Saccharomyces cerevisiae S288C: one gene and its partners. Changing the gene in region 1 together with any one later gene gives a genetic interaction. Each region holds a gene or a part of one and is shown in the gene's direction. Other genes may lie near its edges. The genes, in order: DPB11, RAD9 and DOT1.

What was found.
Region 2: mutations in DPB11 (region 1) and RAD9 impair growth when combined (synthetic growth defect), as found in Saccharomyces cerevisiae (6 studies listed by BioGRID, with this or other methods).
Region 3: mutations in DPB11 (region 1) and DOT1 impair growth when combined (synthetic growth defect), as found in Saccharomyces cerevisiae (3 studies listed by BioGRID, with this or other methods).

The regions. Positions count from the first base shown.
Region 1 is NC_001142.9:263,381-267,219, reverse strand, and holds the start of DPB11 (protein kinase activating protein DPB11), read left to right. Parts: upstream 1-2,168; coding exon 2,169-3,839. Other genes in the region: SIP4 (Sip4p), read right to left, coding at 1-1,294. UniProt on the Saccharomyces cerevisiae protein: Has a role in the initiation of DNA replication. Required at S-phase checkpoint. Required for the association of PSF1 with origins. Also required for the proper activation of RAD53 in response to DNA damage and replication blocks.
Region 2 is NC_001136.10:901,486-905,085, reverse strand, and holds the start of RAD9 (chromatin-binding protein RAD9), read left to right. Parts: upstream 1-1,605; coding exon 1,606-3,600. Other genes in the region: septin SPR28, read left to right, coding at 34-1,305. UniProt on the Saccharomyces cerevisiae protein: Essential for cell cycle arrest at the G2 stage following DNA damage by X-irradiation or inactivation of DNA ligase.
Region 3 is NC_001136.10:1,340,765-1,344,603, forward strand, and holds DOT1 (histone methyltransferase DOT1), read left to right. Parts: upstream 1-1,728; coding exon 1,729-3,477; downstream 3,478-3,839. Other genes in the region: adenine phosphoribosyltransferase APT2, read right to left, coding at 3,753-3,839. UniProt on the Saccharomyces cerevisiae protein: Histone methyltransferase that specifically trimethylates histone H3 to form H3K79me3.

The DNA.
Region 1 (3,839 bases):
AAGATGAGATATTCAACAAATTACATCCATCCAAAGAATATATGATGAAGTTTAACAAAATTTCAAAGGGCTTCAGCCTGGGGATTTCTAGAACCGAGATTGATTTCGGTTGAAATTCTTCAGTTAAAAAGTTGGACTTTGGTAAACCTTGAATTAAGGACCACCATGAGCTTAAGAATTGAAAGCACCAAAATGTCACTATTCTATCATCCTCTTCATTAGATTTATTATTATTATTGTTGCCTGATATAGGAATTAAATTTTTGGGATTTATGTACAATCCCATATTCAAAATATTTGTAAAGTTTAGGTTTAGCAAATCATTGGTCCATATTACTGAATTTACATTTGAATGTTCTGTTAACGAGCTTTTACTTTTACAAGAGTCAACAGAGGCGCCCATAAAATAAAAGATGGATAAGTTAACCAATTGCAAAACTTTCAAGTCTAATTTGCTGTTTGTTGTCAGAGAAACAATAAGCTTCGTGACTTTAAAAAGCTTGAAATCATCAAAACAAGACCAAGTAAATTGAATAATATAAAGTAACGCCAGTAGAGTTATGGGTTCACCTGTCATTGCGGTTGAATTAATCTTGTCTAATAGCAAATTTTTCCATAAATTTGTAGGGTATAATAGAAGTAGCAAAGAATTTTGCCTTTTAAAAAAATCTTTAATAATGACAGACAACAAATTTTTCAAAAACTGAAGGTTATAATCATATTTAAGTAAAAGAAAATTTGGGAGATGATTAAAGTCACCATTCAGGTTCAAAAAATTTGTTAACAGTTGCAGTTGTAGATCAATATTATTTCGATCGTCTGTAAAAACTACTGCTTTTTGAGTAGGAAAAGTATTAGTTAGAATATTCCATGTCAAATGTCCCAAAAACCTTTGATTTTCAGACTGAGTGTTGTAATTATCAAAACAATAAAATGTATCATTAATGAACGGCAAATTAGAATTTGCATTGGCGCTGGAACTCGCATTCATATTTGTCAAACGGACGACCTCTTTTTCTAGTAGTTCTGTATACCCCTTTGGAAGACCTCTCCTCGACAGTTTATCCGAGGTTTTGCAAGGGAAGTCAATTTTCGCACAGTTTGAACAGTTCGGTTTTAAACCGTCACACTTGATTTTTTTCAGTCTGCATCTATCGCAAGCATGCGCCTTTCTGACAGAGAAATCAGTGATTGCGTTAGAGGAGCTTTGACCGGTTGGTACTATCAGGACTTTATTGCTGCAGGAATCTGTATCATCGAGGGAATAAGACCTGCCATATTTCCTCTTGGCCATCGTCTATTCAGAGTAGCGAGAAGAAAAAAAGAAGCAAAAAAAAAAAAAAAAAACGAGCAAAAGAAATCGAGCAAAGGAGAATGAGCAAAGGATAAACGGAAAACAATGGTAAAGAGGATTAGCCGCTGAACTAGATTGTAAATTGAAGCGGAAAAGAAAACAAAGGAGAGGAAATCGGAGAGGCAGAAAGCTTTCTGCCTTATATACTTTTTTTTTTGCCGCCGAGTTCTGAGATCACGCCCTTAAATTTAGCCGCCAAAACACCGGTCGAACGGCGAAAATGGATCGGAGTCTTGATTGCACCCACACCTCGCATTTTGTGCACTAACATAAAATATGACGAAGTGAGAGTCATGACACACAGAATAACTTAAAAATACTTGAGGAAAAAGTTCTCATATTATGAGGTCATAATAACTACATCGTTATTGTTGCGATATAACTTCAATGTTTTCTGCCTGCAAAAGAATCCTTCCTTTTCCTTCTTTAATTGAAGAGTCCATGTAACCTTGTTTCGTTACTTATATTTATTCACCTTTCTACTTTAGTCACATAACGTAATCTGGGCATAATCATTGAGGTATCATTATTAGCTTGAACTCGTGGTTCCTATTGTCGCCAGGTTTCTTTCAACGCATTTGCTCTTTCCGCTTCGCATACGGCGGTGATCAAATGCAAAACTTACCCTCATCAGTATAAGAGAAGAAAAACTGCATGGACTATTCGCGTATTGCCTGGTAAAGCTATATAGTACTATTGGTAATGTTTGTACTGTTTTATGTACATGATGAATAAGAAGAGACAAATTTTACGTGATATATAAGTCTTCTATTTCTAGTATGGCAGGTATTTTATCAGTAGCATTAATATTACTATGAAGCCCTTTCAAGGAATAACATTTTGTCCGACTGCAATAAATAATGAAATCTTAGCTAAAAAAATATCAAAGAAAATTATTAAGTTAGGAGGTATATTTTCTAAAGATTTGACCAGACAAGTTAATGTCCTTGTTGTTGGGTCCACCACCAATACAAACAAATTTAAATTTGCGGTGAAGCATAGATTCGATATCATATTTATTGACATTCAAGCCATTGATGACATTTATCAGCTCTGGCTGTCTGGAGAAAATATATTGCCGGACTCTAATACGGCAACAATGACAGGATCCACCTATGAGATGCTGAAGATACTTTACCGGCGATTTTCGTTTAAATATTTGCATAACTTCAATATCTTCATTGGCAGAATAACCGACACTAACATAACTTCCATCGATTCATTGGTTAGGAGTATTAAAAAGTTAGGGTGTTCTAGTTATAACTATCAAAACTTTGTAATCAAAGATACCTCTTCACACAATGATGACGATGATCAAGGTCAGAATGGGCAGATATCCATTTTTGTTACGGATACTTTACTAGGAGCAAGAGTTAACGCTGCTATTGAACAAAATATACCTATTGTACATTTCAAATGGATTCTCGATTGCCAAAAAAGAAGCGCACTGTTACCGTACGATCCCTATTATCTTTTACCAAATATTAAAGACCTGCCCTATGATTCAATCGGATCAAACTCTTGCGATTGCTGGGATAAAATAAACACCACCTTTCCAACCAATATCGATGCCCAATCCTCTCTGCAGCGGCAGCAATCCTCCAGTACCCTGACTCCTTCGCTCCCGAAAACATCATCCCTCTTGAATAAATTTAAACCAAAGGGTGAAAAAATATGGGACAAGGCAATGTCTCTACAGCAGCATAGTAAGACAAATTTTTCAGTACTAGGGCAGTCACCATTATCGATAAATAACAAACAAGAAGATTTAAGTGATAATAGTACTTTGATTTTCAAAAATTGTGCGTTTATCATTCATCATATTTTTCCTGGCAATCACCGTTCAATACTAACCAAAATTGTTGTTCAAAATGGGGGTAAAATTGAGACGTCTTACTTGAGCGGCATTTACGATCATTCTTATTACATCATTCCAAGTAATAAAGCTCTTGACTCCTTCAATGATTTACCTGAGATTATAGATGATAATGATGGTATAGTTACAGAATTTTTCATTGAACGCTGCTTGTATTATCAAAAATTACTACACCCAATAGATTTATGGTCAAAACCCTTCCTCAGCACAATAGAGTTTCAAGTTTCGTCTTCTTCAAAGTTATTGCATCATGAATTTTCTTCTTCCCCTTTTCTGAATGTTACTATCACTGGATTCTCTGGCGTAGAGCTGTTACATCTGACTAAAGTATTAAATCTTCTAAAACCAATGGGCATCAATTATGTAGAATACCTCAATAAATCCACTGACATTCTGCTAATCAACTTAGCAGCTTTACCCAGTATCCCGAAAACCCATCCGTTATGGTCGAATGAATTTAGCGATCTTTTTACTCAGTTTTGCATTAATAACAATAATGATGATCCTGGTGATAATAACAGAAAAGATTTTCAAAATAATTCAATCTTGAGAAATTCGATGAAAAGGAAAATTGAATATATCAAGAAATTCCACTCCATACCGGTAGTT
Region 2 (3,600 bases), on another chromosome or scaffold:
TACTATACGTACATAAAGTCAGTAAATAATCAAATGTTCCCAATGAAAGATCACTCAGCTCTTGAACAACATACTCTCAGCAGAGATGAGTTAAGACGTCGCAAGGGTTACAAGAAAGGACTGCAGTTGTCAATTTTGTTACTTGGAGAAAAAGGCAGCGGCAAATCAACGTTTTTAAACAATCTGTGCGGTCAGGATATATCGCTTTCTGATGGGGATTATGATGATGATGATGATAAAGTGACAAATAATGTAACACCAGAAAATGGAAACGCCATCGAAGATATAGATCCTGGATATAAAACAGCCCATTTGAGTCCTGGGCTGAAGCTTGTCACCAGAAGAGTGTATTTGAACGATGAACTAGGCGTACCCATAACATTAGATATCATATTGTTTCCAGGCTGCGGTGACAATGTCGACAATTCACAAAGCTCTGTTGTTATAAAAAACTACTTAGACCAACAGTTTGCAAATGTTTTAAAAGAAGAGGTCAGAATAAAGAGAAACACAAAAGAAACTGATGGGAGGCCTCATGTTTGTTTATACTTTCTGAAGAGTACTCCAAGAGGAGTCAAAAAATTTGATATTGAGTTAATGAAAACGATTTGTGATAAAGTTAATTTAATTCCCATTATTCCAAAAGCCGATGGTCTCACAGAAACTGAATTAAATTTACACAAAGACATTGTGCGCCAAGAAATCTCTCAGAACAATATACGTGTTTTTGATTTTAAAAGTGACACCCTAGGCGAAACATTAGCTCTGTACGATATGGACATCGATTCCAGTTCAGCAAAATCCAAATACGATAATGACACGAAGATCAAGGAAATATCGCCATTTGCCATTGTTTGCAGCAAAACTTTTAATAAAAATTCGGAAAATAGGGTTGAGCATATCAGAACGTACGAATGGGGTAGCTTGGTGGTCGAAGACCAAAACACCTCCGATTTTATATACTTAAAAGCAATACTGTTAGGTTCTCACCTTCAGGAATTAAAAGATGTAACAAACAACGTATTGTATGAAAATTATAGGGCTAAAGTGTTAACTGAGAAGAAAAACAACTATGATATTCCAAACTATAGCTATATCGACGAAACCTCAAGGGGAAGTGTCAGCAATGTTTCCACCAGAAGAAATAGTGCAAGTAGAACACTTGGGAATCCAGATACAAACGATGAAAATGCTTATCAAATACACAAAGAAATAGACGAAAAAAACAGAATTATTGAAGACTATCAAAGGAAGATTGATTTATTGGAGAAAATGTTGGCAGCTCCCCATCAAAATAAGGTCTAAATAAATATACGGCCTTGTTAGCGTTAGATACATATGAAATAAAATTTTATTGCTTTTTCAAGTGCACTAAAGTATAAGGCAAAATTTTTTTAATCTATAATATACTTTCTCGATGTGTCTCTATATAACCTTGTGTCTTTCTTATTACTGGCACGGCTTTGAATTTTCAGAGTGCAGTTCTGATTAAACACGCGAGGATTTTTGTTCGTGGATATTTGCAACGATGAGCAATGTGAAGTGAGCAAGATAGAGAAACGCCATAGAAAAGAGCATAGTGAGAAAATCTTCAACATCAGGGCTATGTCAGGCCAGTTAGTTCAATGGAAAAGCTCTCCAGATCGAGTCACCCAAAGCGCTATAAAGGAAGCACTGCATTCTCCCTTGGCTGATGGCGACATGAACGAAATGAATGTTCCCGTTGATCCGTTGGAAAACAAGGTAAATAGCACAAACATAATCGAAGGAAGTCCCAAAGCAAATCCAAATCCTGTCAAGTTTATGAATACAAGTGAGATATTTCAAAAATCTCTGGGATTACTTGACGAGAGTCCAAGACATGATGATGAGTTAAATATTGAAGTAGGAGATAATGATCGACCAAATGCTAACATATTGCATAATGAAAGGACTCCTGACCTTGACCGAATTGCTAACTTTTTCAAAAGCAATCGAACCCCTGGTAAAGAAAATCTTTTGACCAAATATCAAAGCTCCGATCTGGAAGACACTCCTCTGATGTTAAGAAAAAAAATGACTTTTCAAACTCCAACTGATCCATTGGAACAGAAAACCTTCAAAAAGTTGAAGTCAGATACTGGGTTTTGCTATTATGGAGAGCAGAATGATGGAGAAGAAAATGCGTCATTAGAAGTTACAGAGGCGGATGCCACTTTTGTACAGATGGCTGAACGTTCTGCTGATAATTATGACTGTGCATTGGAAGGAATTGTTACACCTAAAAGATATAAAGACGAATTAAGTAAAAGTGGAGGAATGCAAGATGAACGAGTTCAAAAAACTCAAATCATGATATCAGCAGAATCACCTAATTCGATAAGCTCTTATGACAAGAACAAAATTACCGGGAATGGCCGGACCACAAGAAATGTAAACAAGGTTTTTAACAATAACGAAGATAACATAGGAGCTATCGAGGAAAAAAATCCAGTAAAAAAGAAAAGTGAGAACTATTCATCAGATGATCTCAGAGAACGGAACAATCAAATAATACAAAGTAATGAATCAGAGGAGATTAACGAATTGGAAAAGAATCTGAATGTTTCGGGTAGAGAGAATGACGTGAACAATTTAGATATCGATATTAATAGTGCTGTGTCTGGCACCCCTTCACGCAACAATGCGGAAGAAGAAATGTATTCCAGTGAGAGTGTAAACAATCGGGAACCATCCAAGAAGTGGATATTCCGATACTCAAAAGACAAAACGGAAAATAATAGCAATAGATCTACGCAAATAGTCAATAATCCAAGAACACAGGAAATGCCTTTAGATAGTATTTCAATCGATACGCAACCCTTATCTAAAAGTTTCAATACCGAAACAAATAATGAATTAGAGACACAGATAATTGTTTCATCGCTTTCCCAAGGCATATCTGCTCAGAAGGGACCTGTTTTTCATTCTACTGGCCAGACAGAAGAAATAAAAACCCAAATAATAAATTCTCCTGAACAAAATGCTTTGAATGCAACCTTTGAAACTCCCGTTACTCTTTCTCGGATTAATTTTGAACCCATATTGGAAGTTCCTGAGACTAGTTCACCATCTAAGAATACGATGTCAAAACCCTCGAATTCTTCACCTATTCCGAAGGAAAAAGATACATTTAATATACACGAGAGAGAAGTAGAGACAAACAATGTTTTTTCAAACGATATACAAAATTCTTCAAATGCAGCTACCAGAGATGACATTATCATAGCCGGTTCATCTGATTTCAACGAACAAAAGGAAATAACCGATAGAATATACTTACAACTTTCAGGAAAGCAAATATCTGATTCAGGAAGTGATGAAACAGAACGTATGTCCCCAAATGAGCTTGATACGAAAAAGGAAAGTACAATCATGAGCGAGGTTGAACTAACCCAAGAACTGCCTGAAGTTGAAGAGCAGCAAGATCTTCAAACGTCTCCAAAAAAGCTGGTAGTCGAGGAAGAAACTTTAATGGAGATAAAAAAAAGCAAGGGGAACTCACTTCAGCTTCATGATGATAATAAAGAATGCAATTCAGATAAACAAGATGGCACAGAGTCTTTGGATGTAGCTTTGATT
Region 3 (3,839 bases), on another chromosome or scaffold:
CCAACAGTTTAGCATTTTTTTTTATATAAATTACCATAAATACTGCCTCAGGCCGCTCAGCTTATATTTTCAAGTCTCTCCATTTGGCTGTTTGAGGTACCCAATTGTTGTATTCTTGATACGGCTGTTTCAACTATTCACATAATAAGTGTAGTCTAGTCTCTTCGATGAGCCTTTTATGCACCAAGGGAAATTAAATGAATTTCTACCAAACCTTATTCATTTTGAATTATGTAGCTCTGACATTTTGTTGTTTTCCTTGCGTGCCCAATGTTGCCAGCGTAAAAGTTATCGTAAACGTTATCGTAAACGTTATCCCCGTTTTGTAAACTTTATTGTCTTCGTAAAAAATAGAAACCAACACTTAAAATTGGTCCCATAAAAAATTGAGTCAGTTCCTTCATCGTGGTACAGTCAGAGTATTCTAAATTAATTAATTTACTGATAATTTAATAACATGAAGAAGAAAGATTGGATATTGAAGTTATCCACCAGGCACATATAACGCTCTAAATAATATTTGGATGTTGCACTAAAGTCCACGATGAAGAATAAAAAGCATCACTTGATCGTTCAATGAGCCAATCTTGGAAATTTTGACACCTCTATTAACCAGAACATCCAGCTTGTTGAGAACTGTTGGGATAATTCAGAAATGTAACTTTGAAACTCAAATAACTCAAGGAACGGGAGTCTTTCAAGATTTTGGAATAATTTGACCACTTTGTTTTTAAACAATTCGAGTGAAGGCCATGCGCTTCTTGTAAGCTTTGTTAATGAATCTATCTTTTAGTTAAAAACATTTCTTTCTTTATCCAATTGAATTATGCCATTCGATATTAAATACGACAACAGGAACACTGAAGAACGGGATACTCCCCCCCCCCCTTGTGAATGTGCTACAATAAACAGAATATCGCCACCCGGTCACTTCTTCTCTCCAATTCTTACTAAATTAGCGATAAATTCTACCCTTTCCATAACTGGCCGTTCTTCTGCAAGAGAATTTTTCCTACTTGAATAGGCATACTTGAATCTGAAAAGTAGTCATAGATAGTGAAGTCTGCTTTATTAATAAAATTCCAGGATGTACTCTTGGAGATCGAATCAAGTTCCTAGAAATCCTTTGAGAAAGAAGCGGTGAATACCCGTAGGTAGGATTTTTTCACGTAATTAAACCGCCTTATCTTATTTGTTGCCAGAAAACTAGAGGATGGAATAAACATATTCCCTAATGGTGTGGCATTTACCTGTCTGTCTAGTTTCTGTTAGTGCATTCCAATGTCAGCTGCTTCGCTACATTGTTTCCAATGAAAGCTTGTATTTTCAGAGTCGAAAGCGTCGTCGCCTCTTTTTATGGATGAAAGAGCTCTGGCATGAATTTTCTCTGTAGTGAAAAAATGTTACGGCTAAAGACCGTAGAGTGACTTTCTTTGTTTTTCTGTTCTTGAATTTAGACACTTACTTCACAATAGTATAACAAGCCAGAAACTAAGTAATGATTTACGTGCCATTTTTTTTAGCAATATATGCATAATCCTGCTGACGCCTTCGCACGCGTCAATGAAAAGGGACATTGAAAAATCGACCGGTAAGTGCTTTCAATGAGATAAACATAATTCGAATATAGGGCATCTCGTCGTCTTAATTGCCTTGAAAAATAACTGAGGTCCTCATCAAGGAGGTCACCAGTAATTGTGCGCTTTGGTTACATTTTGTTGTACAGTAATGGGCGGTCAAGAAAGTATATCAAATAATAACTCAGACTCATTCATTATGTCGTCCCCCAACTTAGACTCTCAGGAATCTTCAATATCACCTATTGATGAGAAGAAAGGCACCGATATGCAAACCAAGTCGCTTTCAAGCTATTCTAAAGGTACGCTTCTCTCTAAGCAAGTACAAAATTTATTAGAAGAAGCTAATAAATACGATCCAATATATGGGTCATCTTTACCTCGAGGATTTTTAAGAGATAGAAACACCAAGGGTAAGGATAATGGGTTGGTTCCGCTGGTGGAGAAGGTTATACCTCCCATTCACAAGAAAACCAATAATAGAAACACAAGGAAGAAGTCATCTACCACCACGAAGAAGGATGTAAAGAAGCCAAAAGCTGCAAAAGTAAAAGGAAAAAATGGCAGGACTAACCATAAACATACCCCAATTTCAAAGCAAGAAATAGATACTGCACGAGAAAAAAAGCCATTGAAAAAAGGTCGGGCAAACAAGAAGAATGATCGCGATAGTCCTTCATCAACATTTGTTGATTGGAATGGCCCGTGTCTACGGTTACAATATCCATTATTTGACATAGAGTACTTAAGATCACATGAAATATATTCTGGAACTCCTATACAATCCATTAGTTTAAGAACAAATTCTCCACAGCCAACGAGCTTGACATCAGATAACGACACTTCCTCAGTAACGACAGCAAAGTTGCAGAGTATTTTATTTTCAAATTATATGGAAGAGTACAAAGTCGACTTCAAAAGGTCAACAGCCATTTATAATCCAATGAGTGAAATTGGTAAATTAATTGAATACAGCTGCCTGGTCTTTTTACCTTCACCTTATGCTGAACAATTGAAGGAAACTATACTACCGGACCTAAATGCATCATTTGATAACTCTGACACGAAAGGTTTCGTGAATGCTATAAATTTATACAACAAAATGATTCGTGAAATTCCTAGGCAAAGAATAATTGACCATTTAGAAACAATTGATAAAATTCCTCGTTCATTCATTCATGACTTCTTGCATATCGTCTATACCAGGAGTATCCATCCGCAGGCGAATAAATTGAAACATTACAAAGCATTCAGCAATTATGTTTATGGAGAACTTTTGCCCAATTTCCTATCTGATGTATATCAACAATGCCAGTTGAAGAAGGGTGACACTTTCATGGATCTCGGTTCGGGAGTAGGTAATTGCGTAGTACAAGCTGCGTTGGAATGTGGATGTGCATTAAGCTTCGGATGTGAAATCATGGATGATGCTAGCGATTTAACTATACTGCAGTACGAGGAACTAAAGAAGAGGTGTAAGTTATATGGGATGCGTTTGAACAACGTGGAGTTTTCATTGAAGAAAAGCTTTGTGGACAATAACAGGGTCGCTGAACTAATTCCTCAGTGCGATGTTATCCTCGTAAATAATTTTTTATTTGATGAAGATTTGAATAAAAAAGTCGAAAAGATACTACAAACGGCAAAAGTTGGATGTAAGATCATAAGTTTGAAAAGTTTAAGAAGCCTCACTTATCAGATCAACTTCTACAATGTTGAGAACATCTTCAATAGATTAAAGGTGCAAAGGTATGATCTTAAGGAGGATAGTGTTTCATGGACGCATAGTGGCGGAGAGTATTATATATCAACAGTGATGGAGGATGTGGACGAAAGTTTATTCAGCCCTGCTGCAAGAGGTAGGAGGAACAGAGGTACGCCGGTGAAGTATACCAGATGAGGCACTTTGAACGGCTTTTAACGATGAGTATGAATAACTAAGTAGAAATAACATGTACACAAGTGTAACTTATAAAAATCAAAAAATAAAAAAATAGAAAGGGAGAGAATAAGAGTAGGTAATAATATGAATTAAAAGAAGGATAAGGCGCCGTGGACCAGGTACCTAAAAAGTAAAGTACCAGTTTATATTAACAAAAGAAGTTCAAGCTAAAAAGTAGCAATATGCGAAGGAAAGGAAAATAATTGAAGGAGGAGGCAGAGAACAAATTTAAATCAGGAGTGCAATATGGAAAAAATAGGAGCAGATAATTTCTCCTCACCATGTAGACTATCTAACACTAGCACAAAGTCATATTCCAG